Linked DNA regions of Caenorhabditis elegans. The protein of the gene in region 2 purifies or fractionates together with the protein of the main gene of each other region. This does not show direct contact. Each region holds a gene or a part of one and is shown on either strand. Other genes may lie near its edges. The genes, in order: F28H7.3, rnst-2, B0222.5 and C25E10.8.

What was found.
Region 1: the proteins of rnst-2 (region 2) and F28H7.3 fractionate together in Caenorhabditis elegans (co-fractionation; one large-scale study listed by BioGRID). This does not show direct contact.
Region 3: the proteins of rnst-2 (region 2) and B0222.5 fractionate together in Caenorhabditis elegans (co-fractionation; one large-scale study listed by BioGRID). This does not show direct contact.
Region 4: the proteins of rnst-2 (region 2) and C25E10.8 fractionate together in Caenorhabditis elegans (co-fractionation; one large-scale study listed by BioGRID). This does not show direct contact.

What each region holds. Positions count from the first base shown.
Region 1 is NC_003283.11:10,747,194-10,753,766, forward strand, and holds F28H7.3 (Fungal lipase-type domain-containing protein), read right to left. Parts: upstream 3,596-6,573; 5' UTR 3,509-3,595; coding exon 3,442-3,508; intron 3,392-3,441; coding exon 2,985-3,391; intron 2,886-2,984; coding exon 2,475-2,885; 3' UTR 2,412-2,474; downstream 1-2,411. Other genes in the region: Thioredoxin reductase-like selenoprotein T homolog selt-1.2, read right to left, coding at 1-33, 78-144; F28H7.2 (DeHydrogenases, Short chain), read left to right, coding at 751-787, 833-1,260, 1,311-1,484, 1,530-1,745; gtnt-24 (Glycosyltransferase family 92 protein), read right to left, coding at 3,864-4,020, 5,318-5,511, 5,564-5,767, 5,958-6,110, 6,314-6,414, 6,464-6,573.
Region 2 is NC_003283.11:1,058,863-1,069,525, reverse strand, and holds rnst-2 (Ribonuclease T2 protein rnst-2), read right to left. Parts: upstream 7,932-10,663; 5' UTR 7,930-7,931; coding exon 7,646-7,929; intron 7,590-7,645; coding exon 7,464-7,589; intron 6,939-7,463; coding exon of another isoform or gene 6,868-6,938; intron 6,824-6,867; coding exon of another isoform or gene 6,375-6,823; intron 5,423-6,374; coding exon of another isoform or gene 4,935-5,422; intron 4,416-4,934; coding exon 4,262-4,415; intron 4,214-4,261; coding exon 4,058-4,213; intron 3,845-4,057; exon of another isoform or gene 3,830-3,844; coding exon of another isoform or gene 3,635-3,829; intron 3,424-3,634; coding exon of another isoform or gene 3,241-3,423; intron 3,198-3,240; coding exon of another isoform or gene 3,053-3,197; intron 2,191-3,052; coding exon of another isoform or gene 2,082-2,190; intron 2,031-2,081; coding exon of another isoform or gene 1,985-2,030; exon of another isoform or gene 1,958-1,984; intron 1,790-1,957; coding exon 1,670-1,789; 3' UTR 1,618-1,669; downstream 1-1,617. Other genes in the region: K10C9.7 (Homeobox domain-containing protein), read left to right, coding at 1,985-2,030, 2,082-2,190, 3,053-3,197, 3,241-3,423, 3,635-3,829; str-67 (Seven TM Receptor), read left to right, coding at 4,935-5,422, 6,375-6,823, 6,868-6,938. UniProt on the Caenorhabditis elegans protein: Probable endoribonuclease involved in the autophagy-mediated degradation of ribosomal RNA and ribosomal proteins in lysosomes.
Region 3 is NC_003283.11:9,150,345-9,158,010, forward strand, and holds B0222.5 (BPTI/Kunitz inhibitor domain-containing protein), read right to left. Parts: upstream 4,529-7,666; 5' UTR 4,526-4,528; coding exon 4,446-4,525; intron 4,206-4,445; coding exon 4,147-4,205; intron 4,103-4,146; coding exon 3,986-4,102; intron 3,928-3,985; coding exon 3,844-3,927; intron 3,802-3,843; coding exon 3,670-3,801; intron 3,625-3,669; coding exon 3,479-3,624; intron 3,430-3,478; coding exon 3,318-3,429; intron 3,096-3,317; coding exon 3,003-3,095; intron 2,716-3,002; coding exon 2,602-2,715; intron 2,559-2,601; coding exon 2,386-2,558; 3' UTR 1,977-2,385; downstream 1-1,976. Other genes in the region: B0222.15 (Activin_recp domain-containing protein), read right to left, coding at 5,271-5,411, 6,072-6,132, 6,191-6,251, 6,305-6,392.
Region 4 is NC_003283.11:9,050,765-9,056,747, forward strand, and holds C25E10.8 (TIL domain-containing protein), read right to left. Parts: upstream 3,306-5,983; 5' UTR 3,169-3,305; coding exon 3,166-3,168; intron 3,117-3,165; coding exon 3,065-3,116; intron 3,002-3,064; coding exon 2,931-3,001; intron 2,886-2,930; coding exon 2,598-2,885; 3' UTR 2,498-2,597; downstream 1-2,497. Other genes in the region: spi-3 (TIL domain-containing protein), read right to left, coding at 99-248, 306-308; Serine protease inhibitor swm-1, read right to left, coding at 3,504-3,788, 3,839-3,909, 3,970-4,018, 4,066-4,068; C25E10.10 (TIL domain-containing protein), read right to left, coding at 4,712-4,827, 4,928-5,024, 5,070-5,155, 5,205-5,281, 5,324-5,396, 5,442-5,499, 5,552-5,554.

The DNA.
Region 1 (6,573 bases), 9.7 Mb from region 2:
GTCTTGAATCTTCTGCAGGCGGTTCTTTTTCTGCTGAAAAATCTATTTGACCTACATAAAATGCGATATATTCCCACCTCTGAAAACATCGAAAATTGATGCAATGAAAAATAATCCAATTATTATAGCTCCAGAACGAGACATTTGATAGATGAAAAGAAGTTTCTCTGGATAACAGACAACAAAAACTGTGAACACATGCTGTGGCGCGCAATTCCCCGTGGATTTACGTATTGGTGATTCTCACGCGTAATATTAAAGACAAGGCATTTTTTTTAAAAATGAGATGCATGACTTTCATAGTTAGTATTTTTACATTTTATTTGAAAATGCATAAAGTTCCAAATTAAAAAGTTAAACACCAATTAAAAAATTTGTTTCAATTATCTTCAGAAATAAATGTTTTCGACGCATTTTTCAACAGTTTCATTATGAATTTTGCAGCTTTAAGATTAAGTTTTGGTATTTTGAAATCCGAAATTCTAATTGGAGTTTGGAATCTCAACTATTCTCTAGTTCTGAGTTACTTTATGATCTTCTTATTTAAGGTTTCAAATATTTGTGGTCTACCACCCAAACAAATGATTTTCGAGCACAAAGTCACAAAATATGAGCATGACAAGGCCGTCGTCTTATTTACTTTTGTTTATAATACATTCTCAACCTATCTGCGTCTTCTTCCTCGGTTCAAATATATAATAGTTTGTGAAAAATTGAAACTTCACTCGTCAACTATTTGATTCGAATAGTATGTCTCGCTTCACTGATAAAGTTGCTATCATTACTGGTAAGTTCAACATTTTTCAATATTTAATCAAATGAAAAGTTTAAGGTTCATCCAATGGAATTGGTCAGGCAACAGCTCGTCTTCTTGCTTCCGAAGGAGCAAAGGTTACTGTAACTGGAAGAAATGCTGAGAGACTTGAAGAGACGAAGAATATTTTATTGGGTGCTGGTGTTCCAGAAGGAAATGTTCTTGTGGTTGTCGGAGATATCACCCAAGAAAGTGTTCAAGAAAACCTGATCAAGTCAACTTTGGATAAATTTGGAAAAATCGATATTTTGGTTAATAATGCTGGAGCTGGAATTCCAGATGCTCAAGGCAAAAGTGGAGTGAATCAATCAATTGACACATATCATAAAACATTTGAATTAAACGTGCAAAGTGTAATTGAAATGACACAAAAAGCACGCCCACATCTCGCAAAAACTCAAGGAGAAATCGTAAATATTTCTAGCATTGGAGCTGGACCAGCTGCTGTGAGTTTGTTGTATACGTTTAACTTAAATATAACTGTAACTGATTTCAGCAAGTAGCATCTCCATATTACTCAATTGCAAAAGCTGCATTAGATCAATATACTCGTACAGCTGCTATCGATCTTGTTCCTGAAGGGATTCGAGTTAACTCCGTGAGCCCTGGAGCTGTATCTACTGGATTTTCAGCTGTTTCGAGAGGTCTGACAGAGGAAAAATCAAAAGCTGTAATTATTTCTTCTAAAATAATGTAAAATCTAATATCATTTCAGTTCTACGATTATCTCGGTGCTCAACGGGAATGCATTCCACGTGGATTTTGTGCAGTACCAGAAGATATTGCAAAAGTGATTGCCTTCCTTGCCGATCGAAACGCTTCCAATTATATTATTGGTCAAACAATTGTTGCCGACGGAGGAACTTCACTCATTCTCGGAGCTCATGCTCACGGGGCTAAAATGATGCAAGCTGTTTTCAAAGAACTTTGACTTGTTCAACTAATTGCAATATATTAAAAGTTTAAATGTTAATTTTTTGAGTTTCTGAAAAAGAACATCGTTATTTAATTAGCCTGTTTAAAATCTGCAGGCAGAATACAAACCACTGGACAAGAAAATGCTGGGACTGCATCTAAATTACCCTAACTCTTGACAATGTCATCCAAACTAAAAAAAACAGAAGGTTTTGGGTAAACTGTTTCAAAAACTTTGATCAAACTTGCACAAGGCTCGGATTCTGTTTCAATTTTTGTTTCAGTGGCTTGCATCAACGACAACAAATTATACATAGTATACAGGACCTACTCTTCTTTCTGATCACTGAATTAGTTTTATGGTTTTTGCCAATAAAAATTTACTCCAAATTTCAAAAAAAAAATTTTTCATCAAAATCAAACATCCCAATTTTTTAAACTTTACAAATTGACTCATTTATGTTTAAAAAATAATATAAACACAAAAAATTGATAATCACCGTTCAAAATTTGACTGAAATTCTAGTTTTAAAAAAATCTTTGAAAAAAAGCAAATCGTGGGCCTGGAGCCCGTTTGACAAATTCAATGACAGGTTTGGAGTCGGCGCCAAAAGACGTGATAATTTCTGTGAACAACACTGTGAGAAAACTGGAGCAATACAAGTGAAAGCAAAAAAATTCAGATTAGGAGCTCATATTTATTATGACATACAGAAAAATTCAAAAAAATACAAAATTTACTAATTTAGTTACATCCCTTATCTCCCCATGCACTGATATCCTTCTCAAAGTAATGAAGATGATCATCGATTGATGTAGTGATCCAGAGCCCATCAGAGCATCCGTTATCTTCATCACCGTTGCAGATAGTAAATTTTGCACCGCTCTTCATATTCTCACGGTAATAGACCTCATACTTGTTGTGGTAATATCCCATAAAGTCCTCATTTGGAACGTGTGGAACAACATCACGGTTATGTGTGACACGATAAGAGAATGCAAGTTGATTATCGTGAGCATGAGCATAATCCTTGTTTCCGGTACGTGGTTCTCCGTAGGTGACAAGTTTCACACGGGATCCATCAACCATTTTTGTTCCGATGACGTAAGATGCTGCGAGCGAAGCGAGTGATCCTCCGAGAGAGTGTCCAGACACCTGAACATTTTTTAATCATATAATTTAATAACTATTTGATTTCCATTTTTATTGACGTAACAAAAAGAGCAAATATTCTTATCAAAGTCATCAACTCACCCAAACTTCATATCCAGGGTTTGCGGCCAGAAGAGTTGCAAAGTCATCCTTCATTCCAGCAGCCCAAACTTTTGTGAAAGCATCTCCAAAATATTTAGATACTTTTCCTCCGGCGATCCAAGACATTTGTGATTCAAAGACACTCTTGTTAGCCTCAGAAATCAATTGGAAAAATCCTTGAGTTCCACGGAAACTTATTACAATTGCCTTATCGTTATGAAGAACAGCAGTGTATCCAGAGCACACATCGTTGCTCACTAAAGCACAGTTCTTCACATAAATTTGACGTTGAAGCTTAGCGTTTGTGAATTTAGAGTCAAGGCAATGTTGTGGATTAGAGGAATATGCAGCTGAAGCAAGAGCAAGCATTTGAGTTCTGGCAAATGCATCTGTGTAACTGGCTAGCACTGAAAATGTATGATGTGAGAGAGTCAGTGCCAAATTATTCGGAACTTACTAGAAGCTGGGAGGACAAGACCATAGGCGGTGTAAACCACGCAGAGAAGCGTGAAGAGTTTCAGCATTTCGGGGAGAATGAAGAAGACAAACTGACAATGTCAGATAAGTGGGACGAGTTTTTGTACTTGCCGTGATAAGGAAGTATTATGTGAAGAATGATTAGGAGGTTTAGAGACAGCTCTTTTCTCTTATCAGACGGAAAGGAAAACCGGCATGCTGCACACATTTCGTTGGAGAGATCACGAACGTGTGATGGAAAGTTTAAGCGGTTGTGAGTTCCGTTACCAAATTGATCTTAAAATTTTTTGAAATAAGAATTTTTAATGACGACACATTTTGTTTGCATAGTTAAAGTTTATATGGACATAAAACAATTGAGATCAAAGTGATAGTGATGAATTTCAACCCTTTTTATTCTTCTTACGGTCGATGAACTGCATAAAGAATTTGAAGAACATTTGTTAGAAGTTGGTCTCGGAGACGTAAATTGTACGTGGTATTTTCGTATGGCTTCAGTTTTTCAAGTACGTCCTTATTTCTCACCCACCATTTTCCCATATTTACATCTCGATAGTGCCTGAAATAAAACACTGTGATGGCTCAACATATGTAGTTTATAAGTGTTAGTATTTGGTGTTCGCACAGCCTACATAGATTTACGAATTGCTCATTTTCTCTTTTTAGTTAATTTGTTCAGACCTCAACCAAAACTATGAAAACGTCTTGTACTTCAACACATAGGTTCTGAATAAAACCTTTTTATTCAGAAACTACATTTTATTATTAGTACTTATCAAAAGGGAATGTTCCCGTAACTCCAACCACACCTATAGAGTGGATAATGTCCCCATTCTTCCATCCTCCACAGTCCGCGATTTAGGTCTTATCACGGATTTTAAATTAAACTTTGAACCTCATATTATAAAAATTAGCTGCCTAGCCATGCTAAGGGCTAAGCAAATTCTCAAAGCGTTCTCCTCTAACTCCCATAAGTTTTATAGCCACTTATTTAAAACATACGTTGCCCCCATCATAAACTATTGCTCTGAGATCTACTCCCCTTCCCCCAACTCCTCACTCTCTGCCATACTTGAAAAACCGCTTAGGACCTTCACCAAACGCGTCCTGCAAAGGTGCAACGTTAAATTCACCTCTTACGAAAACAGACTGTGCATCATGGAACTATTCTCCACCAGACACACAAGAATTAAAGCTCAAATGAAACTATTATATAGACTTCTTACCGGTTCTACTCATTTCTCTAAATTAACTCAGTTTGTCAAGTTCTCTAATTCCAATAGGAGACCCATGATTCTGGTTAGGAAAGACACATGCACCTCTCATTTCTTTGCCAAATCCATTCCTATTTGGAACAATCTTGTCAAAAATATACCGGTATTTCTCTCCCCCTATCAGTTTTCAAACTTTCTCGATCTCAATATTCCCCGGTATTAACTTTTCTCCGCTGGTTCTCTTTGACTTCTAATTGATCTCTTCTACCACATTACCCTCTCTCTCCTTTCCCGTCCCAAACTCGAGACGTACTCTTTCTGGGTTAGTCTCGTTTTACCGTTTTATTTAACACTCAAAATTCAATTGTACAGTTGTAAATTGCATTAGTTATGTTAAATAAATCAAATCAAATTCAATGTTCCTAACCGTTCTCTTAAAGGAGCACTAACGTACTATTTTAAATTTATAGATTTAAAATGTGCTCGAATAAACGAATTTCGTAATGAAACTTCTCAGAATAATTTTAAAACTTTTTTACGGCGTTGCAAAATCCAAAATTAAGCTAATTTTCAAATTTATTCTAAACTTATTCTAAACTAAGTTAGTATTAATGAAAATATTGAAAAAATTTGTTTTAATACCTTATATATCCAATTTTCGGATCAAGAATCAAAGTCTGATAATTCCCATTATACTCTCCGACGTCATGAATCATCATTTGTAATACTTTTTGATTATTCACTATCATTTTTGAGAAGCAATGTTTTCCATCTGTACAGTTGAGCCATGGTTGAGTTGTAAGTTCCCATTTCCTTGACGGCATTTCTTGCATTATCTGAAAACAGAATGAGCGATTTCATTTACAAAAATCTGTACTCTTTCAATACCTGTACTGGATTAATAAACTTTTCAGGCAGCTTTTCATATTTGAATATCCAACGCTGTGGGAACATAACTCCTCCATACTTCTCACTGACTGAATCTTGTAAAAAATTTCGAATAGTTGTCTTGCTATCAGTCAAAATGATTCTCTCGTCAATGTCGGAAAAGATTGTCCAATTGGCTGATAATTGGTTTCGCAAGTGACAGTCCTGAAAATATCTGAATTTTCTTGAATTTTAGGACTGTATTTCCCCCATTAATCACACTAGCATTATTTTGAGTTTACAACATCTTGGTTGGCTTTGGAGTTCAAAAAAAGTGTAAAATTGGTATGTTGAATAATTTGTTTATATTTAAACAGTTGAACTGATCTTATAGAAAAATACGGTAGTTGCTTACCGCAATTGCTAGATACTGTTGAGAGACTGCATCAAAGTAGATTGAAGGAATATGAATAATTTCAACTTCATCTCGAAATGCCATATAGTGTTGAAGAACTGACATATCATACAATTCGATTTCTCGGATGTAAAAGTAAAACTTGGTGACACCCTGAAAAGTAAAAATTTGACAAAGCGAGACAAAAATTTTATGCCTGAAATAAACATAATCAGTTTTGAAAAAAAATCGACTCGGTACATGTACGAGGTAAATGAATGCCTCTTTAATAGCAGGTAAAATGGTTGTTTTAAAAACTTTAACGTAAAAACTTAATATAAATAAACTAAGCTATCTATGCAAAATTTTAAGCAAACCTGTAATTTATAATGCTCGATCATTTCTACCAGATGCATCCATTTCGGTTCTTGTCCAAATAAAGGAGCCGAACAATGAGTCAACATTCTTTTGTAACTTGCTGAAAAATAATCGAATTACACATTTTGTATTGATGAAATATTTCAAACCATTCCATCGAGTAACAATCATCTGAAATTGTTCCAGCACTACTCCATTTGGTCCATCTGTTATTGCAACTTTATGAGTTTCTGAAGATTTTCGATCACAAATCACAACA
Region 2 (10,663 bases):
TTTTTCGCAGTTTTTCCTATTTTCTGGGTATTTTAAATTTTTTTTAAATTTGGTATTTGCAATACAAAATTACAACAATAACAGTTACTCAATTTTTGCAACTCATAGCAAATTTTTGTTCGAAATTAGTTTCAAGTAATTGTATTCAGACGTTGTTTGAGGTATGCGGCATTGGGCTGAGTTTCTCGAAAAAATTCGTATACTTCATGTGATCTACAAAACAATGTTTCAAAAATAGATGTGAAACAAAGTTCAAATTATACAGTAGACAATTTATCAAACTTTCTGGGAACGAAAATAACCGCACATCAACTCAAAACAAAACTTCCATTAGCTGGATCATAAAAAACTCGATGAAAAACACGGAAATGTTCCCAAAGGAGACAAGTTTGGGGATTCTTGAAACTCGTTTTTACAATATTTTTCACGGTTTTAGAAGAGTTATTTGGAGGAGGTTTTGGCTCGTTTAACAGTCGTTAAAAAGGGAAAAAAGGGGAATAAATTGAAAATTCGGATGATCTATGAACAAGAAAGTCTGCATGTTTAAAAAGGAAGTTTTTGACAAGCTTAAGGAAAACCTCGAGTTAGTTTTAAGAAATATTATTTTAGCCATTAAAAAAATTGGGGCATTTTTCTATGTGCCAACCCGTACTTGTCTACCTACAAAGTTTTATCGTGCCTACTGACATGCCTCATTGCCGCCAACTAGCTGTGCCTGCCTTTGTGCCTATATCATGTCTACCTTTTGCCTGCCTGCCTGCCTGCCTGCCTGCTTTTGCCTACAAGCCAACCTATCTGCCTACCTCGTGCATACCTACAAGACTACTCGTACATGCAAAATTAATTGCCTTCCTGCAAAGCTACCTCATACCTTTCTACGTGACGTGGCAATTTGGGGAACAAAATGTTTAAAGGTTTTCCAAGTTTTGAAAATTGTTTTAATTGAAAATTTTGAAGCCTAAATTTTAAAAAATTTTAATTTCAAATCTGTGAACAAGTTTCAATCAAAAGCTTTAAAAATTCTACTAATTCTGAAAAACACCAAACATTGCACCTTCAAATTTTTCAAAAAAAAAGTGCCAGGTACAAACTTCACCGGCTCAACAAATTCTGAGCTGACCACCGAATTTTCACTGTTTCTAAGCCAGCGCGAGTTATCCGGATTTATTTTGATTTTTGAAGTGCTAAAAAAAGCTCTCGTCACCTTAAAAAAAATCAAAATTTGGAGAAATTTTTTTGGAAACTGCAAATTTAAGTTGGGGTGAAACTTTTTTTTCAAACATAAAAAAAACAAACTATCAAAAGCTAATCCTCACTTGTGACCAGCATCAGGAAGGGATTTTGAGGTTTGTGTTTATCTAAATTTTGCAATGCGTATAGGTAGGCAAGAGGTAGGCATAAGATAGGCACGTAGGCAGGCATAGCTAAAATGTGTTGGCAAGCGTGAGGTAGACACTTAAGAAAATAGACTTGACAGGGGTAGGCATATGACACCTACTAGGCAGGCACAAGGTAAATATTCAGTCAGGTAGGCATGAGGTAGGTGAGGAATCGAGCAGTGAACAGGCATCAGGCAGGCATCAGTCAGGCGGACATCAAAAAACATATGCAAAAGTTGGGTCCTTTTTTTTATTGAAATCAGCAAAAATTATACAAAATCCGAAATATTTTAATTTCCAATATTTTTGATAGCGCTCCAGATTCGTCCGAAAATAGATGGCGATGTGGAATCAGAGGATTTAGAAATGCTGCTCATCTCCGGAAGGTAGATGAACTCGGCGGGGCATGGCTGAAAATTTGTGAATTTTTGTTAATTTATAAAAAAGTTTTGTACTTTTTATCAAAAAAATAAATGAAAAAACGTGGACTTGAAAATCACCCTCAAAATCGCAAAAAAATATTTGAACGTTTTCCACGACTCACAAAATTATCGGAAAAAAATTTATTTCAAATTTGCAAAACTACTCTTCTCAACGAAAGAAAAATGAAGTCGATTCAAAATACTATCGATGAGCTTCGCAAACTTTCCGGTAAGAAACTTTGAAATTTTTGGATTTTATTTTAAATTTAATTTTTTTCAGCGGGAAAATCATCTGAAGAAGTGCAACGTTTGAAGGAAATGCAGAAGCACTCGAAAATGTTTGGCGAGATTTTTGGAGTCTACGGAGCAACGGTTGGAAAACCAAAGCCGTGAGTTTCCATTTTTGGAGTTCTGACGGTTACGGTTGTCTGGCTCTGTGCATTTGCATGACTGAAAAAGGGAAATACAAGTTTCTAGAGAATTCCTATAATTCCATTCTTGAAGCTTTTTGGTTAACCTTTTTCGAGAAACCACGAGCTTCTGGCCTTCCTCAATGCATTTTTCGCGCTCTATTGACAAAAAATTGCCTGCCGGACAAAGTGTGGGAAAGTCGTGTACGCCACACGGACAAATACCTATAGATTTACAATGAAAACCGAGCCACGAAACGCAAGGCGACACGCGACACGCAACGCGGCACGCAACGCATTGTAAATCGACCCCAGATGTGGCAGAGCGATAATGGTCTAATTCGGCGAACTCTTACATTTAAAAATTTGAGGAAAGCCAGAAGCCCGCGTAAATAGCAATTTGGAATAAGTTCTAGAAACGTGGGAAACTTGAGAAAATTCTGGAACTTTCTGGAAACTTCATTTAAAATTCTGAAATATTCACGGATTTCTGGCTTCCCTCATAAATTGAAATTTAAGAGTTTGCCAAACTAGGCCATTTTGGCTCGGCCATATCTAGGGTAGATTTACGACGCGTTGCGTGTCGCGTCGCGACTCGATTTCAGTTGCAAACTAAGTGTATTTGTCCGGGTGGAGTACACGACTTTCCCACGCGCTGTCCGGCCTTGTCAATGGAGCGCGAAAAATTCAGTGAAGAAGGCCAGAACCCCGTGAATTTTCTGGAATTTTCTGAAACATCCAGAATTCCATTTAAAAATCGCACTTCCTATGCAATGACTACCGTAAACCCACTTAGCACAGATTGCTGGAAAGTTCAAAAATGTTAAAAACTTTCTTTCAGAAAAGAGAAGGAGGTCAAAGTTCCGACAAAAGAAATGACATTCGAGGAAAAACGAAAGCTTCTCGAGACCACTTTCCCCAATAAAGTGACTCCGGGGCAGCGTGCCAAAGCACGTGAAACTCTCAATTTCATTGCTAACAACCCGGTAAGTTCCGACTATGCAACAGCGCTCTAATTGACAATTTCAGGAAATCTATGCAATCGCATCTCCGCAGGATCCATCTTCGAAGGCTAAAACTGATCCGGTGTCCCGTCCCCAGCTCAATATAATCAGTTCGTTCTCTTGGCCGATCACTTCCGGCTCGGATTGGTCTCCACACGGAAGCGAATTCAACGATTTGACTGCTCCGAGAGTTGGGAAATTGACACCGGTGAGTTCAATTCTATTTTTTACTAGGGACGCAGGCGACGAGATGCCTGCCTGCCTCGCCTTCTGCTAAAGATTTTCATAAAATGCAGAAAAAAGGCGAGAAGCAGGTGGGTTTCAGGCCGGCCAGCCTACCACAGAAGGAACGTTTCAAAGTATGCGAATGCATAATTCCAGCAGCCGACAACTGCCTAGTTCAACATGCAATTTTGCAGGTCCCCCAGTGGTCCGACATGAAAAAGTCGTCGTTGAAGCTTGGTACCGAGGACAACTTCTCCAAAATGTCATATGATCCGGCCTACTCGAATACTACCCAATCTCAATCTGTCACAACTCTCTACAATGAGACATCTACCCCATACTATGATGATTCGGATTTGGGAACTCCGCTGCATACTTGTGTTCAATAAATATTTCTAGGCACCATGTAAAAGTTCCGAATTTTTTGTTTTGACAGTGGAAAAATTCGAATAAAAAATCCGAAAGTATCTCGAGAAAAATTTGGTCTGAGAGTTTTGAAAACTGTCAATTGCCGAAAAATCTTGAATCGGCAATTTATTAAATTGCAAAATTCCAACAAAAAATGAAGGATTCGGAATTTTGGAAAAGGTCAAACAAAATTTTAAATCGTAACCAACCTGGAAGCTTGGAAGTGGTGGCCCGCGTCTATTTCTGCCAATTGATCTCTCGAATCTGCTGACTCGATTCGGATGTTTTCCATCAGTCGGACAGTCTCGGATTGTCAAGTCCTTGTTGAGACACAAGCGAATGTCACCGAGAAGGAACTGTTTGGTCTGAAATTTAATTTTTTAGCATGACAATTTTGAGGCTTAAAAGCGTACCTTCTTATCCCGGAGGCAATGGAATTGGAAAGTTTTTCCGCTGGTGACTCCGCTCAACGCGTTTTTCAAGTCGCTCGAGGTGATTGGTTTTTCCGATGGTCCAACTGATTTCAATCCTCCAGCCACATCGATAGAGTCGAAGACTTTCATTACCCTGAAAAAATTATGTATTTCTTGTTATTGATTAGTTCACTATAGAAATTTCATGCTTACCAAGACTGATTTATATATTTTTTTTAATTCTAATTTTTCAATGATTTTTCAACTCTACGAAATTTTTTTTAAGGAGATGATTATTTTTGCATTCCCGCGCAAATGAATGAACTATTTTTTGGAATTTTGAATTTGTGTGCATGTTCTGTTTACAAAGCTCGATAGTAAAATTCACCGACAAATAGTTTCCCAATCAGACAGAAATTGTATTAAGATTTATTGGTACATTCTTTGAAAACCATCATGTGTTTTTATCATTCGCCACTTGTGAATAATATTGTGAAATTTTTTTTAAAAAAAGAATTCAGTGATACAGACTGTGGTTGGTGTTTGTATAATATATTTAATTTCCGGTGCTTCATACAATATAAATCGTAGACTTCATTTCTTCATTACATACAAAAAATATTTCCCGGGCCGAACACTCTAATTCTCTCGTTAAGTCTTCGAAAAAGTAAGAATGAGATTGTACGATTTTTCTGAAATTTGCAGAAAAGTTGGGTTTTATGCCAGTTTCAGTACTAACTTTGTATTAATCTGGATTACTGTCTTTCACGCGAAAAAGCTTTTTGGAGCTTATAAGAAAATGATCATATATATCTCAGTTTTGAGCACAAGTTTCTCGGGACTAGAAATGATCATGAAACCGTTTACTCATAACTATAACGGTGCGCTGTTGTCCTTCAACTTATGCGAACTAAATATTCCACTCAAAATTCGGCAGATTTTCATATTAATTTGGTCCCAATTCTACCTAATTGTAATTTCATTCATATCTGTGCAGTTTGTGTACAGATATCTGTGCGTATTCAATGAACAGAAAACCAAATATTTTGACGGTCTTAAAACTATCATCTGGATTTTATATCCCTTGGTAGTAGGAACAATTTTCGCATTGTCCCTACACTATTTGTGTGGTTCTGATGAGTTCACAGATTCTTATATAAGGTGAGCAAATTAAGGAGCTACTGGCAAATCTAGATGTTAATTTAATATTCGTCATTTGTTTTACACGGGTAAGCGAAAGTATATATATGTTTTCGGTTTTTTTGCTGGTTGAAAATGTATATTGTAATTGAGTATAGCTCAAAAACTAGGAACTTCATAAAGAAAACTTCAACTAAAAAATTTTTGCTCGAAATGTTGTCTACTGAATAAACTACCGTATTTCCTTTATTAGTCTTGCAGCCTCTATTAGTATTGCATGCAAGACTAATAGAGAACTTACGGTGATAGTCTTCCATCCCTATTCTTGCCAGACCAGCAGTATTTTTTGAAAACTTCAACAATATCGCCATTTTATAGCTAAATTAAATTTTAAAGTGTTAAAATAATTGATAAAACAATAGAAAAGTATGTATTTTGCATGATTTAGACTATTTCGAGTCAAATTTTGACGATAAATGGCCAATTTCATAAAGCTATTGGATCTTCGAAAATTAGTCTTGCAGTCTCTATTAGTCTTGCACCCCTACGGGTCAATCAAAAATTAGTCTTGCATGCAAGACAAAATACGGTATGTTAAGATATTTCTTAACATGAAGGTCAAGAGATATAGCGGCCGACATTTTGTGAGTCCACTTTAAAGCATTTTTCTAGAAACGTTTTCTTTTTCAAAAATACAGTAAACTAGAGCTAACAGTAAAGGTTTGAACTAGCACTTTTCAAACACTGCTTTGCCCAATTGTTTAAAAACGTGGTATCATTTTTGAGTTTTTTTTTGTTGCTGTAATTACATTTCGTTTATCATTTAACTGAAAAAAAAGGGTTTACCAAAATTCAATAATCATTTTTAGAAATTGTTCGACTCGCAAAATGTCGGTCGCTATATCTCTTTACATAAATGTAATTTTAAACCAAAGTTTCTCATTTTAATTTTATCTCAAATTATTCATTACAGAAAAGCCATTTTTGAAAACTACGCACTGGAAGTATCCGAACTGCCACGATATGCAATGGTACCATATGCAGCTGATGGCTCAATTCGAGCGAAGGGTATAATTTTCTTACTCTTCGCAATTGTTCTCATCAGTTTTTCATATTGCATTATTATATTTACATGTGTTCAAATGCATCGAAATATGAAAAAAGAGCTGAAGAAATTCTCAACTCAAAATCAAAAACTTGAATATCAATTTTTCCTTGCTCTCGTTATGCAAACTATTGGACCAACTATTTTCTTAATAATACCAACTGGGCCGATATTGATGACCCCATTGATTGCACCAATTTTCGAACTTGAAGTCAATTGGCAAACTGGTAACTTGTACTCACTTGTTGGATTCTACCCATCATTTGATAGTATCGCTTTTATGATGATTGTTTCGGAATACAAAATTTTTTTGAAAAGTTATGGCATAATGATTGATCTAATATAATTGTTTTTATTACAGAAGTTATATGTTGCCGGATGAAGAATAACACAGCAGTGCCCAGTTCAGCAGTTGCGGTTTCAACTGTATAGACAATTGAACCATCTCATCAACTTCACAAATAATTATTTCATCAAACTTATTGAAATTAACATAAAATCATTATTTTTTTAATATTCGAATGAATACAGTTTTTTTCTTTATATGCTTTATATATTTACCGAATATTGTTATTTGTTATGTTATTTGTTATGATTTTGTTTAATTTTGCAAGAAAAAAAACAAAACATAAAAAGAGCTGAATTTTTTTTGAATTTCCGCGCGAATGAGTAGCCTAGTTTTTACTACTTAAAAAATAGCCAATTTTTCACACAATTCTTTAACAGTAAAGAAAACTTGATAAGCAGAAATAATTTTATGGGAACTGCCTCAAAAAAATCATGTTTCAAATTATAAAATAAAAAAAAGAAAGAAATCCCAATTAATATAGCTGGAGAGCGCAAAAATGCCAAAACTAGGTCTTCTTTTTTGGTTTTCAAAGTTTTGAAAGAGTTTAAATTCAGTAGATGTATCTACAAGTAAAACTCAAAATCATCGTTTAATTAGAAACAACTTACTCTGTGAAGTAAGCCAACTCTGACTCGAAGAGCTTCTCACTTTGAGCACATGTCCCGTGCTTATCATACTCGTGTTTCCAGAAGGATTGAATCGTCTTTTTAGGGTAGAGGTTTGGCCAGACAACTCTGAAAATTTAAAATGTTGTGATATTCAAAGTTTATTCCAAATTTTTGTAACTTACACCAATCGATCTTCAATTGATTTTATCAAATTCTCATCGAAATGTCTTGGAGTCCCACGACAATTTTGTGGGTACGAGCCATTCTCAAAGTTTGGCCACAATCCGTGAATTGACCATTGAGGGGTACCACTTGGAATCTCACAGGATTCAGGGACTGAATCATCATCGGCACGGCAGACGGCGGTTGGGTAGATTGTGGTGAACATTAGGTAGTCAAATGGCTCACCATCATGAGAATAGGCTAGGGGTATACAGGATATGCAGAGAAGAAGGAGAAGTTTCATTTCTGGAAATCTTGCGTGATTATTAGAAGTAAAAAAATAGATTAAGCATATTATCAGAAGCAGAAAAAAATCAAATGATATTTTTAGGTACACAGGTTCACTTTTTGTTTCAATTTTTCCGCCTTTTGGGCAAATTATTTTGAAAACTATTTAACAAAATTTGACAAAAATTCCACAAAGTCTACTACAATTTCAATATATACAGTTAAATTGGAAAAATTTAGAATGTTTTAAAATGCTAATAAATTCTGTAACTAATTTTTAATTTTTGACTCCAAATTTTCACCTGATTTCAAATTTAACAAAATTGAGATTTTTAATTTTATCTTCAAATTGCAAAATTACTTTGAGAGTTAATTGTAACTTTCATTGAAAAATTTTTTAAATCGTTTTCTTTCAATTTTTTTCAAAATTTTAAAACTTCAAGTTTTATTTTGGAAAATCCAACTCATCCTATAAATGCTCTTGGTTTGCGATAAATATAAGGAAGTTTTACAAAAAATAACACAAAAAAACGAGAAAAAGTATTGAAAATATACATTTCTGAATATTTTTGCCTACAAAAAATATTTTATTTAAATTTTTAAAAAATTGTATTTTTTTGATTTATGGAAATCAAAAGATTGCCAAATTGCAAAAAACAAAACTTTCAATAATCTAAAAAAACATCAATAAAACTTTTTGGAATTTTTCGGTTAGATTTTCAAAATTACAGGAAAAATTTGGTAAATTTGGTTTCTAAAATTTCATTTTAATAAGATGTTAAAAAGTAAGTATTGGAATAAGTTAAAAAATCCAAAAAATTATTTGAAAACAGCAGAAAAAGGACAATACGGATTATATTATCGACTGAAAATAAATCTGACCAAGAAACAGAACGCAATAATGTACGTACTGGAATGCTGGGAAGTGAGCAGTCTACTGGACAAAGGAGTGTCAAGTGACAGGTGCTAACAGCTGCCACATGATTTATTGTTGAGACCATTCAGATTTAAGACCAGATAATTTTTAATTAAGTGCAACTACATAGGATGGTTTTTGGTTTGAAAACTAATTTATTAGGAAAACAGAACATATTTGACCTCGCAGAAGAAACGCAAAAAAGAATGATACATATATCTTATCAAGAAAGTAGGTAAAGAAAAAACAATAAATGATAACAAACAGAGATAGTGTGACCTGAAAACAGAAAGTTTGATAGCGACTCAGCGTGGCCTAGAAATTGCGAAAAAGTTCGGCCACCAAGAATAGCGGCTAATATCAAACTAAAATGATCAAATGTAATGTAGAAATTTCAAAAGTTGATGTGAAATTTTCCGTCAAAAAACCTGAGCCACTTTTCACCCATCATTAAAAAGCAGGAAATAAACACTGATATTTTCAAATTTTGAACTTGTTTTAAATTATTGTTTTCAAACATTTTCCTCTGCAGAAGTGATTGAAGTTACTTGAAACCCCCTAACTTATCAAAACTTTAAATGAAATAATTTGAATTAGGTAGTTATTTAAGATAATTGTACAACATTAAACAACCGTATTGCCTCTATTACTTTTGCATGCAAGACTAATTTTTGATTGACTCGTAAGGGTGCAAGTCTAATAGAGGAAATACAGTTTTTAGATAAGTTCAACCGTGCATAATTACATTTTTAATTTGGCGCAAAAGTAATTTTTAGAGATATAGAAAAAAGCATGTCTGCTTCGTTATTTAAAAAAAACGTAGATATTTAGGCATAAGGCATGTCAGCTTACTTTGTAAATCTTAACATAAAAACAAAAATTATTACGACGTTAAGTTAATATGATACCCCCCAAAGTGTAATCACAAAAAGCACAAAATCAAACATTTTTACAAGTTTTTTAAAACTTGTTGCTGTAATGAAACGACTGATATTTAAACGAGGTAATTTAAAATTGTCAACAAATACAAAGTAGCAGCATTTCAGAAAATTAGAACTAGAGTAAAATGTTCAGGCCACTTTGATTTACAAAGGTTTGAAAAATCAAAACAGTTCGCTTTTCGGATTTTTTTCATAAATTATCTAATTGTAAACTTTTTTTTTGATTTTTCGATTTTCTGGCCATATACAAAATCGAAAATGTTCGTTTACAGTAGTCGCCTACGATAGTTTTCAATTTTGGTGATGAGCTAGCAATAAGCCTTGTTTTCACGTTTATGGTTTATGCCGGATGTATAGTTTTTTGTCACAGACATATTGACAGCATTGTATTTTTTAATTAATAGTGGTTTATAAAAGCTGGGCAAAAGAAAGTATTTTCAGTTTTTCATATGTTTTGGAGCTTTTGCATTTTTTGGTTCACTAGAAATGACTGCAGCACCTCAAAAAATCAGATAAATTAGCGGGGAAAAAATCCGGCAACTTTCAACTTTCGCACAATTTTTGAGAATTTTTTCAGTTTATCCAAGTGAAATAAAAATTATTTTTAGATGAAGAAAATTTTTTATTATTGAAATGCACACTATGAAATGCAGTCTTTTTGGAATATTTTGAGAGAAACTCTACTTCCCCATTGAGTTTCAAGTTCGAGAAAACATACCCACTGATATTATTAGAATCTCTAATCTTTACACTTTTACCTTTCAGAAAATGCTTGGCAAACAATGGAGTGATCTTCTGAAACTCATACAAGATGTGTCAGCAGGATTTTCTCTCATCATAAATACATTATTGATTTTCGTGATTTTGACAAAATCTCCAAAACAGTTGGGAGC
Region 3 (7,666 bases), 8.1 Mb from region 2:
CCGTGAATAAATTTTAATTTGCTTAATAATAGATTCTTACTTTGAAAGCTTCATTATTAGCAAGCATCTGAAAGAATCTGAAAATTCATAGAAATGGTATAACAGTACTAATTTGTGTTCATCGGTGATTTTTTTGACAACTGAATATTCTTCATGAACTAATATTATTATAAATGCAGTTATAATCATTCCGTTTACACTTTATGCGAAATTTATTCCAGAATATTGATTTTAACATATAATTGTTGATAATTCCTGCCTACGGTAAAATTGTCTCATCCTCCCAACCAATCATCATTGTTTTCTGTGGATGTGTTTCATTCAATGGCCGAATACCGTTTTATTGTTTTAAAACGGGGAAAATGTTTCAAACACCAAAACACAGTATTAAACTACTCAAACTTTTTTTTCTAATTTTTCAGCAACGTTTGTAGACTGGGACCAATTTTCTTTTTTCTTTTTTTTTGCTCACGATTTACTACCAACTTATTAAAATTAAAAATTTAGTTTTAAGCTTTTGAAAATAGAAAAATATACGATCCTATCACACAATAAAGCAAATTTACCGATTGAAACTTAGTACTGCATGTTAATATATAAGCTATACACCAAGTCTTAATCGTTGAACATCGGGCCTATTAAAAACGCCGTAATCTCTATTCTGCACTTCATTTCTCAATTTTGATAGTTTATATCTTGTTCTGGATTTTTTTTTAAATTATGGTTCAAATCGAAATGTTTTTAATAGTTTTTGCTCGAACTTTTATCGATTTTTCGAAGTCTCTTCGATTTGTAGACTGTATCATTTTAAAGGAGGAGCAGCACAAGTGAGGAAAGTATATGAAACTACTGCTATGGTTTCAAAATTACCTTCAAAATTATTGTTGGAAAATTTTTAGTTACTGTCAAAAAGTGACAATTACCAATTTTTTTCATTAATAATTTTGGAAATAGACCAAAAGAAATTATTTCTACGATTTACGAATTTTATAATTTTGTTTTTATTCGTGTAAAAAATTCTAGGAGTGGAACATGTGACATTGCTTTTTATTTTCTTAAAAGATTGTATTGTTTAAAAATTTGGCAATCCGCCAAAATTTTGACTGGAAGTTTAAGACAACAAAATCTTTAACAAGATCCCCACTTGCACGTTTTTCTCAATTTGCATATAGGGCAATTGAACATTTTCGAATTTTAATTTCAAGCTCTTTTGATCAGCATGTACTTTGAATATCTCCATGTGTTCACTTCGGAAACGTACTTTGAACTGATCCGTCTTTCATGTTTTTAAAAGTCACGTTAATATGAACATTTGATCTGTTGAACTAATTTTCTGCAAACATACGGATAAACCTATATTTCTTGTTTTATTTAGAGAACTACACTGAACTAAGACATCAAAAAACAATCTTGATAAGTTTAAACGAGATCCTTCGTTTTCTGCTTTAAAATATTCAAAAAAAAGTTACCTGACTATGAGTTTTATTTTTGATTATTCTTCTTTCTACAATTTAACAAAACAATTTCTGAAAATACGTTTAACATTTTTTCAATGTAGTTACGCGGCTCATTTAATAACTTTTTCATCAGCGTCCATTTTTCAAATGAATTTTTTTCTAGAAAAAAAAATTACAGTTGTTGTGCCGTAATAATTTTTTCTTGAGCAAAGAATAGCCCAACAACTGTTTCAGTTGCATATTTCGAGCTAGAAAAGTCCACCGCAGTTTAGTTTTGAAGCCTTCGATTATCGTATTTTAGCGTTTTGTAGCATATTCCACATAAAGCACGAAACTAAACTGGAACATTTGTGAAATCATCAATCAAGTCATTTTTGGGTACACATCATGTCTGCGGAGACATTGAGCGAATTCAAATAGACCAAGTCATCATTCCGATTCATTTGTGAAAATTCGTTTTCTGCTAGAACTGTGATCACTCTATTTTTAAATTCTATTCGCATCAAATTTCAATCACAAATATACTTTGTTGCTTGCTGCATTTAACACATTTTTATGGGGTGAACAGGACACTATCAGAAATCAACAAGTATCTAGTATGGTCGAAGACTTTGTTTCGGTGCAGTTTTCTGAACATATTTCTTTTAGGAGGGAAAATGAATATAAAAGATATTGATATCACATAGGCATCAATAATCAATGCTATGAGAAGACACGTTTAAAGTAGGGGGCCGGCAATTTGTCTGGGTGGAAAACCAACACAGAAGAAAAGGACAGAAGAGATGAAAGGTCGTTTAATATACATTACATATCATTGTGAAAAACAAAAGAACTACAAATACTTTTTCTTATTTATTACAACCTGAATTAGAATGTGAATTGAAGGGCGGTTCGAATGGGCAAGAAAACAAACGTCAAAACACACATATTAACGCGGACAACAATATGCAAAAAACTCGTTATGTTCACAAGTATGACTGCTTGGACAGAATCTATCGGAACATGATTTTCCGAGCATTGCACTCGACCAATCGTCCTGTTTCGTTTGCAAAGCTTCTTTCTTGTTTTTGCATAATGGTTTGAATGCTGCTTGGTAGCGATCTGGAAACTTTGTGTTTTGGTTGTCGCTAATATGATTACTTACTTGTCAAGTTCTCCTCGCAGCAAATACCAAAGAATGCTCCCATAGAACAAATATATCCCTTTGGACAACCATCAGAGGTTAGTTTTGGGCCTGGAGTTGTAGTAGTCTTGAAGCCTGAAAAATATGAAGCAATATTTCAGTTAGTTTTTTTAATGTTCATTATTACTTTAATAAAGTTTTAAACTAACTAATACTCGTTTTTAAAACATTGTATTTCTAACGTTTAAACAGCTCAGATCCGAAAAACAGGATCCTTTAAATGAAATAAAAAATAACATTTTATAAACCGGAATTGTAAGTTTCGTTTTTCACCACAAAAATTTGTAGCTAATTTTCAAATATTATTTATGCAGTAGAAAGTTCGAAAGTTTTATTAAAAAACCATCAATCTCAAAACATACCTGGTGGACCATCTGGGCCTTCTGGGCAAGAATACCATTGTCCATTCGACTTTCTAGCTGGTTGTGATTGCATTGCACAACTGAAGTAGTCTTCTGAAATAAAACTGCATTCAATTATCGTATTTGATTTTTGAGTTAAAAATTGAATTTTTGAGTTAAAAATTGAATACGTCAATGAGGGGCTCAGAGTTTTCAAACTTTTGGGTCAAAAATGTATGAAACATTTTACAATTTTTGGTACCATAGGCCTACTTGTGATCATTTTCCTTGGTGAACGTCACTTATATTCATGAAAACAATACGTGGATAACTTACGCAAGACACAGTCAAAATAGCATTCACTACTTGTTCTATAGGAGTTCTGATTTCCACCACAGCCTTTGTGTTCGAATGGGAAACATTGGAAGGTTTCAACGTCAAACCAGTACTAAAAAAAATATTTGCCCGATTTTTTATTAGGTTTAAAATCAACTTACTCTTATCGAAGTTTTATTTTGATTGCATGTATGTCCAGCATTTCTGTTACTTGCACACCATGGTTTTCCAATCGGTTGATCATTTTTCGGTTTGGCAGGATCTGGTTTTTCAAAAGCGGGGAATGCTGACGAATCGATGGAGAAATCTGAAATTATCGAATTATTTTAAATTATTCATGATTTTGAACTACCAATTTGCATGCAATTCATCTTTGTTGTGTTACTCAATGGTTTTCGTGTCCCTTGTATTTCTCTTCCAGTATTTGTGTCCACGCAGTAGCATTGGTTCTTCTTACTGTCACATTGTACAGGCTCAAAATCACCTTAAATACTTATATTTTATCTTTAGCATTATTTTTTCATACCTTTTCCGACGTCACATTTTGGTACGAAACTATTTTCTGGAGGATCTCCGTCGGCAAACAGCTTTTGGAGGTAAACAAGGCAAGCTGAAACGATAAACGTCACTTTTGGGAAAACTTAGGAAATTGAATGGTCTCTACTTACTTCCACATTTTGGCGCGGTTTTCGGATTGTTGGTTCGTGTGTCGTATGCAACAAGTGCAGTGTGAGGAGTAACACAATAACATGATTCAGAGTTACATTGTACAGTTTCATAGTATCCTAAAATTATGAATAAATTAATATAATTTAAAGTTTAGAATCACCATTTTCATTGCATTTTAGTCCATCATCATTCAACGTGCATGGTCCAGTTTTTGGGTTTCTGTAATAAAATATTACATTTTTATAATAAATTTGAAATAAGCAAAGTAATGTTGAAAAATTAAAATTTCCACCAGTTGCTTCAACACTTTATTAATATAAAATTCTTAAACAAAACTGTTATTTTTTTAATAGTGGACACCGAACTGTTGAAAAATATTTTCACTTACTAGGGTTCTAATTATTTCAAAATTGGTTTTTCATAAATTGTGCCTAACAATTTTTGTTCCAAAGAACTAACCTGGCTCGTAATAATCTGTCTCCAAACAGAGCATTGACTTGGGTGAATCCAACAAGTAATATTATGCAGAAAGCTCGCATGCCGGAAATCAAAAAATTGCGTTCGAAGGAATGATTGAAACGAGGAAATGAATGAAGGTAAATAATAACTAGTTAGTGAAACAAACATTATTTGATTTTCGAGAACAAAAAATAGTAAGAGCTATGAGTTGATCATTGAGTGATCTATTGTATTTGGGAATTACTGGCTTTTGGTTATTTTCATCACTCGCCGATGAAATTTTATGTAAGTTATTTTTATGTACATAAATTCTGTGCATATGAAATAGGTGAATCAAAAAGTGTTCACAAATATTTGGAAACATTAACAAAAATATTTCAAATAAAGGAAAAATTCGAGAAAAAAATAATTTTCTTAGGATATGAAAGCCAAGTTATATTCTTTCTTCTCTCCGAAGATTCAAAAAATCAAGAAAGATTAAAAATTGAAACAGTATCTTTTTTCAAAAGAAAAAACTAAGCAGTATCAGTGCTAGTTGAGAACAAGAAAAGGAATCAATTGCTGAACGAATCTTTGTTCGACGAAAAACGAAAAAAAAGGTTTACTTCCTTTTTATCATATTATGTCAACTACTAGAATGCAATGATCAATCGATAAAACTGGTACATTCTCTTATTCTCTTTGGATTCGTTTTTACACCAATAAATTTGGTTTGACTAACAGAATTACCTTTAGTTGAAAAAACATTTATTCGGGAAAAGAAGTGAATCATCAGAAAATAACCCGTTTTTGTCGGAATATTTTTTTAAATAAATAAAGTTCAAACTAATAACTAGACATAAAATAAGAAAATAAAATGAAGAATAGTAGAGACACAGGCCAGAAAGTGATTGGAGAAGAGTTACACAGATCAGTATTACAGCAACAGACTTTACTTTGTTTCGAAGTGACCACGCATTCGTCTTTCTGAAAAAAAGAAAACATTGAGAAAAGATTAAAAGAATAGAAAAGTCTAGAAGTTTCTATGGAAATCACTGGAAGAAAACGTTACTCACGAGTTTTTAGAATAAGAAAACAACAAAACGTTCTAGAATGAATTTCTATCACTAAGAATCATAAATTATACTTTTGAGAAACAATACGGGAATCGAGCTTCAAGTATAACATATAGGAATGTATTTTTCTAATATTTTTTTCAAAGACCGGAACCATTGTTAAGTGTCAGACGATAGAAAAATACGCTGTTTTTAAATTTAAGTTTAAATAATCCTTATTGTGATTTTTATTCACTGTTGGTCATTTTTTGGCAAATTGACAATACATACATTTAGATAAAACCGGCATTGACCCCACTCATTTTCTACAAGCGAAAGTGTATTCCGTTATTTTTCCATAGTTACAGTATGTAGCATTGGGCTTTGTCCGCTACATATGGGTTTTGTCCGCTTCTAGTATTTGTTTTCTGTTAAAGTTGACATTGCTCTTTCAATGAGTATGGTTTTTATAATTAATTTCCAGAAAATCTACACCAGGGCTGCGCCACATTCAATCTTTTCGACAATTTTTTTTCTGATTTTCACTTTGCACATTTGTTCTTTCAATTTCAAACTCGTTTTGTTCGCTCACTTTGCAAAACGGCGTAAAGTCATCACATCCGTAAGTAGCTCCGCCAGTTGGCTCTGTCGTTCTGCAAAATGAAAATTCCAATAAACTTGCTGCCTTTTCTTTTTCTTCTTTCAACCCACTTTATGCAATATTCTGTCTGACAAAGACGTTGTTTGAACGGCCTTCCATCTCCCGAGAACCCTAAAGAATCACTCGTCACGCACACGAAATGCTCTTCTGCTCATTCAACGTACCTTTAAAACACTTCACAGTAGTATCTGCAGAAGGCGGCAAAATGAAAAAGAAAATGAAAAGACAGATAATGACAGGGTGCACGCTCATAATTGTTTCCGTTCACTTGGTTTAATACGGAGTTCAACTGAAATTTAACTTTTTAGGAGTGTCATTTCCACAGAGTTTGAGATGAAGAGTTGAATTTAAAAGGAATAAGTAAATATAGTTTTAGATCAAACAAAATAAGAACAAACACTAATTCCATTAGTGTGAAGGAATTGGTTCAAGTTTTGGTTAGTTGTTGGCAATTTGTTTGAACTGTATGGTTTTTATGATGCGGATATTTTGTAATTTGAAAACCTGCTTTATTCAGGTCTCTTCACTTTATAAATGTTTCTAATTTGAATTTTCAAAACCCCTTGCAATATCACATATAGAATTCATTTTGAGAATTTTGTCCGCCTATAATATTGACATGCTGTCAAAGTTTCCTAGGATACTAGTTTTTACTTTTTTTTTTTCTTAATTTTTTTCTTTTCTTAGAAACTCTTAATCAAATGTATGATAGTCGGATATGAAGGAGTTATGAGCAAATGTTTGTAAAAAATTAAAGTTGAAACGAATAGATGCAGAAAAATAGGTTTAAAACTTGTTCAAAATATTTGCAGTTTCAAACTCGAAACAAAAAACCCAGAAATAGAAAAAAAAAGAATTCCAACACCTCCTCGTCTTCTTTTTTCTCTTTTTCTTTCTGGATTGTACTCTGTGATGAATTCATTGAACTGAAAACAATGTGAATAATGGATTAAAAAACGAGCCTCCCGGTTTTGTAAAAAGAGAAAAAAAAGAGGTTAGAAATTGCAACCAAAAAATGAGTGAAGCACCCAGGGGTTAAAGATGTTTTGTTTTGATATTTTCCAATGGCTCCTGTGGGTGAAGCTCCGAGGCTCTTAAACGTGGTGCCAAAACACTATGAAGTGCCTTCCGTTCTCCGCCTTTTTCTTTTCAGTCTGCGTCTCATATTCCAGGTTCTCTTGAGCAATATGCAAATGATTCCTCTAATTGGATAGAACTTGCTTGGTTCAAAGAAGAAGAATATGTGCTGGGGAAAAATGAGAAAAGTTTTCTGTGAGAAGGATGAATGAACCTTTGAAATGTTGCATATCTTGATTGATTCAATTTTTCTAAATTAAGTTTTCAACAATTCAATTGAAGTTCTAGTGTATACTGAAATGCAAAACATTGCTTGAAATTTGATAATCGCTACATATTGTCACGTGCTTGTGATTCTTGTTGAGGTTTAGAATGGCTTAATTTTTCCTGGTAAAATGATCCAAAATCGGGATTCTGCTGTGGAAAAGTTCTTGGCATGTTTTGCGCAT
Region 4 (5,983 bases), 8.0 Mb from region 2:
AAAACAGTTTTATTCCTAACCTTTGACAGTAATACCTCAAATGAAAAAAAGCAGAACCAAAACGTTCCTGCTATTTTAGAATTGAAAAGATAACTTACTGGATCAAATCCGCATTGTGGTTCACAATCATAACCACAAGCCACTCGTTTTTGGTTTTTCCCACATTCTGGTAAAAACGGGGCTCCTGGTGTGATCCATTGTGTGGCTGATCCCATGCTTAAGTAAAAGCTGAGAAATAAGAAAGTCTTCTGAAAAGTAATACTCGGATGAATAACACATGCTTTAACTATGTAATGCAGGCTTACCATTGTTATTTGCAGATTTTCCGTGTTGGACAATGAACAGACTGAAAAGTGAACGACGGAGAACTCTGAGCGAATATTTGGGCGGTCTCAAGTAGTTACCGGAAGAGTGAAAAAGACGTTCTTTAATATATAATTATAAATGGAAATCAGCCAGAAATGAAATGATAATGACAAGGTTTTCATTTGAAACGAGAGGGAAAAGATATTCAAGAATTGGAAATTTAGAATGAGTTTCAGCCACATCTCATAACTTCACACATTCATTATGTTTGTTTGAAAAGTCACAAAGTTATAATGAAAATGAACATTTATTTATTAAGACACCAATACTGGCTAAAGAAGAAACTAAATTCTATTTCCCTTTTGCCAAAGGTATTTTTGAAAACACTGAATTTGATTCTAAGAACAGAAGTACTGTAAAGAAATGATAAAAGGTATGGCTTAGAATAAAATTGCATTATCTGAATACTGAATATGTGATGTTAAGCTTTCAGTACAGAACAACTTTTTTTATTGAAAAAAATGTAAAAATAACTTTATTGATAAAACCGTTTCCAAAACTGAGCTTATATACCAGTCAAACGGGAAAACTTTAGTTTAAAAAATACCTAGAAACTAGACAGGTGAATTGCGTTCAAAAATCATATATGATCTGCTAAATGTCAGCATAAAATGGATTCCTTGAAAAGTAATTTAGTAAAATCGTACCGGAATTCAGTGAAAAGTGATACAAGTTCGGAAGACAAAACGGGTCTCAATAATTTAGATGTGCAAAAAGCTTATTGACGTAAATTTTATGTATAATTATGGAAAGTACGTAATACTTTTTTGGTAACGCAGAATATCGAATAAATCTGCTCATGAAATTTTCTAACTTCGAAGTAAGTGCATTCTTAAAATCAAAGTTTTGATTCGATTTTTTTGGCAGAAAGGTATAACTCAAAAGTCCCGAAACAAAAAATATACATTTTGTTAACGGGCTTAAACAGACGCAGTTATTTAACTTCATAGTTCAATTCAAAAATGACGGCGGTCTCGAAAAAAAATTTGAGCCTCTCACTTTTTTGCATCATCGAAAATCTATTTCCTTTTGCGCATCGGTAGGTGTGAAATTTGAAGCGTCATTGAAAAGGTCAAGTTAAACGTTTTTTTGGCATTTCAAATAGTATAGACCTAAACGTATATATTATATTTGAATTCGTTTCATTTTTGAAGTAATATTGTAGTGAACTATAATATTGAGACATTCAGTTACGCACTATGTTTTGTCATACTTATTTCTTAGTATATGCATTTGATACAAAATACAAACTCGGAGGTTCAAAATTGTAGACTCGAGCATTGTCAGATGTGTATTTCAATAATTAACGTGTTTATAAATAATGAGCGAAATACTATGACGGCATGAAAACGTCATGTGTTTAAATAGAAAAACTAACAAAGGCGTCGAAAGTCAAAAGTTTCAAAAATATAAAGTAAAGGGAAAAATTAATTTCCTATAACTTTTGCCAAATTTTTTCTGGGACAAATGATATTGTGCAGAAATTGGCAGAACCTTTCTGACGCGTACCTATTGGTATTTATGAATGTGATTATTTTTATGTTTACGAGGTAGAAAACAATTGCAAATGCTCACGTAAAATAGCGTAGTCTTTCATTTTCCAGAATGTGCCTGGAAAAAACGCTGCTGTAAAAGAATCGTGATTTTTGAATTAAAAAGTTTTAAGCGTCTACGACATTTTCTAACCTAGACATTACAAAAGAATGATTGATCTTTTTTTGAATAATTTCCTTGCTTAAGTTTCTTATTTGTTTTTTGTGTGTATGTTCCTATATTAAGAAACCAAGTAGGGGATGAGCTCAGCTCTGCCACACGGTTAAATTTTTTAACGCATTTTTTAACGAATTTTTTTTCCAAAAAAATATATGATGCCAACATTTAAACTGTCTGTTTTTGTCGCTTTTGGAATGTTTATGAAACAACAATTGCCAATCCTAAAAAAAGTTTTGTGTGTAGCATCGAACCTATAAGACCAAATGAAATTCAATACTCTAGTGAGGTAATCTGTACCCAAAAACGAAAACTTTGTGTACTCCGATCGGACACAGTTTTCCATCGGAATGATATCACGATCACGGCATTGTTTGTGTTTTGTTCCAAAAAAGAAATATAAATTCGTTTCCATTTTTCCAGTTCATGGTAACCGAATGTTATTCTATTTGGCAATTTGTTGGTTTTTCTCAGAATATGAAATTCAACGATTTATTATCACAAATGTGAATACAAAATGTTCACTTTGGGCACTCCTTGAGTTCGGTGCATCTGTAACCGTTTCGGACAAAACCACTGGAACACTGGCAAACATTTACAATGCATTGTCTGGTACATGGTCTTGGTCCTGGTTTTTCACAAGTTGGCTCACAAGCGGTTCCGCATCGGAAGAATGTCTCATTTTCCGGACATTTGCTAGTTTCCTTGGTACAGGTGGAAATATCGACACATTTTCCAAGTGAATTACGCACAAATCCTTTCTTGCAGTCGCATGCGTTTTCAATACATTGAGCAGATAGACACACTTTCTGAAAATTAAATATTATAGGAGAACATGGAAAATTATAGATTACTGGAGTGTATCCGCATTGTGTCTCACAGTGATCATGGCATGCAACCATTTCCTCGTTGGCTCCACATGTCTCTGAAAAGTAAAATGTTTATTTTCCAGAAATATTTAACAATAATCATTTAAAAATAAACTTACTATTGGCAGCTGTCGCAGCAGCAATAAAACAGGCAATTATGACAAAAGTTCTCTAAAAACTCATTAGTTTTTGCATTGCTCTAATGAAAAAAAGAACGAACCATCACAGAAAGAAAAGTAATGCAGCAGTCTGATGTTTTCTTTTGAAATGACTCTATTTATTGTTCGAGAACACTAAATCACGCAGAGGACTCTAGTCTATCAAAACCGCCCTTTTGTTTGCCAGAGACATAGACATTGAAAAAAAACGATGACCAATAAATCCAAAAGATCAAACAGAGTTTTTTTTAGTTTTTCATGCCAGGAAAAATAATACTGATGTAACAATTGTGTTATCAATAATAGCACACAACTCCAGTTTCCTTCATCACACTTCTTTTTGAATTTTTTCCAATATTTGATGGTTTATTGAACTTGGAAATGTTTACTCAAAAACAAATTATTTTGGACAATCTTTCTTATCAATGCATCTGAGTCCATGACGAACGAAACCTTTGGAGCATTGGCAGACATTGACGATACATTGTTTAGTGCAAACTGTTGGATTTGGTTTCTCACAAGTTGCTTCACAAGCTGTTCCACAGCCAAAGAATGTCTCATTTTCTGGGCATTTTGTAGTTTCCTTGGTGCATTCAGATACTTCGACGCATTTTCCAAGAGAATTACGAACAAATCCGTCTTTACAGTCACATGTGTTCATGATACATTGCTCCGTGCAAGCTTTCTAAATTTTGAAACTTTCAGTAATGGGAGACACATTAAGTTAATTGTTACAGGGGTATATCCACATTGTGGTTCACATGTATTATGGCACGATACCAGCTCCTCATTGGCTTCACATGTTTCTAAAAAAATATTTATGATCTGGTAACCGTTCAAGTACCAAATCACATATATTTACTTACTTGTGGCGGTAGCAACAGCAACGATGCATGTGATTATGACAAGTATCCTCTGTAAGTGTATAATTTTTATATTAGAAAAAAAACTCAAAAACTCACCATTTTCACAATAACGAAGGGCAACCAACCGATGTTTTGCTTTTTAACGGCTCTATTTATTGTGCCGGAACACTAAAAAACGGCAGAACCGCCCTTTTTTTCGGAAGGGATGATACGAGAAACATGATAAGATCGAATGGGAGATATTATAGGTCTTCTCAATCTTTTGGAGAGAAATTTATCTTTCACCGGTCACGTATTTATTTTGTAAATTGGGCTCACAACAAAGGTTTAAAAATCTCGAAGAATTTGTATTCGAAAATTCAGAAAAAATCAGAAACACATTAAATCGAGAACCTTACGAAATTTCATTCCGACCAATGATTTTAATGAATCAATTCACTAGAAGATATCAATTTAAAACGTATCGCTTGGTGCAAATAGTTTTGGCTTGGCTCACTGGAGAGTATTTCGAATGTGTTTCATCCATAATTACCAACTTAACATTGTTTGGTTAACACTGACTTTTTGTATTCATTGTATTGCAACACGGAATAGTTCATAAGTTTTTTGGCTATTGAAAAGGAATACAAATATTATGTTAAAATTCGAATATTGTTATTTTTAAATTTTCTGAAAACATTAGCATGAAAACATCAATATTAAAATATGAGAAAAACAACTTTTTTTTTAATCATCGAAAATATTATTCAGTGGTATGTTGTGCAACACATACGTCCACAATTTGGCATGGTTTCTCCTCACAAGTCAGCTCCACAAGTTCACATTTTTCGTTCTCAGAGCATTCAAGAGTGCATTTGCCTGAATGAAAAATTTATGACTAGTATTATGTGCAGGTTTTCAGCGAATAATCACTGATGGTTAAATTGGTTAAAGTCTAGTAATAAATTTTGAAGCTTACTGCATTTATTTTTCTCCACACATTTTCCAGTTGCCGAGTCTCTGACGAGTCCTTTCTTACACTGGCAGACGTTTGTCATACACACCAAATCACATTCCTGAGAAACAATTTATGATCATACATAATCTCAACGTTGATTTACTGGATTCTCGTTATCACATGTCGGTTCACACGCTGAGCCACACGCCTTGAGCTCTTCATCGCCCTCACATTCCGGTTTGCGGATTGCTGGAAGTTTCCAAGAACCACTGGATATTTTTGGTTTCACTACACTTACGGATTGGCACGCACTTTGGATCAACTGAACAATCGTCTTCAGAACCACATTCCAAGTCACTGACTGGCAGTTCGCATCTGAAAAAATATTTTAAAATTTATAATTGGAAATATTAAAACCTATAATTATCAGGACATTTGATAGAACCACAGAGTGCGTCTGTGTGAGAAATGGGCATGTTTTCTGTGTTTTCTGAAAATAAGTCATTTGATTTTTAAATAAAACCTTGGTACTCACTAAGAACTCCAGATCTAGCAAAAGCAAGAAGAGCAAAGAAAATAAATAATTGAAAATTCTGAAAAAACACACTTTCATTTGTTGTAAGATATGAAGAAAAAACCACTCACCATTTTGATGAAAGAATTTCTGAAGAAACTTTCGGAGTGGGGAAGTTATGAGAAGGAAGCAATCATTGAAATAAAATTGACAGGCGTGAGACCGAGGATGAGTCAAAAGATTAATGACTTGGTGAGACCGGAGAGAGTTCAGCCGACCGGAATATTTCTTGAGTGCTGTTTTTTTAAGTTTAAAAATATGTTATTTACAAAATTACTTTCTACGAAAGTACGCCTGAGAAGAACAAAGAAGTAACTGTTTTCGGTTTTTGCTTGAATAGACTCAAAATGCGCCCTAGGCAAAATTTTGGTAATGAGAAATCTCAAAAATTATGCAATTTTTTTGAGAAGTCTTATTATGAAAGTTGCCCATTTGAGTATTTTTATTATATACAAGCAAAAACTCAAGACTGTTGGAACAGAAGATTAACTGCTGGGATGGGC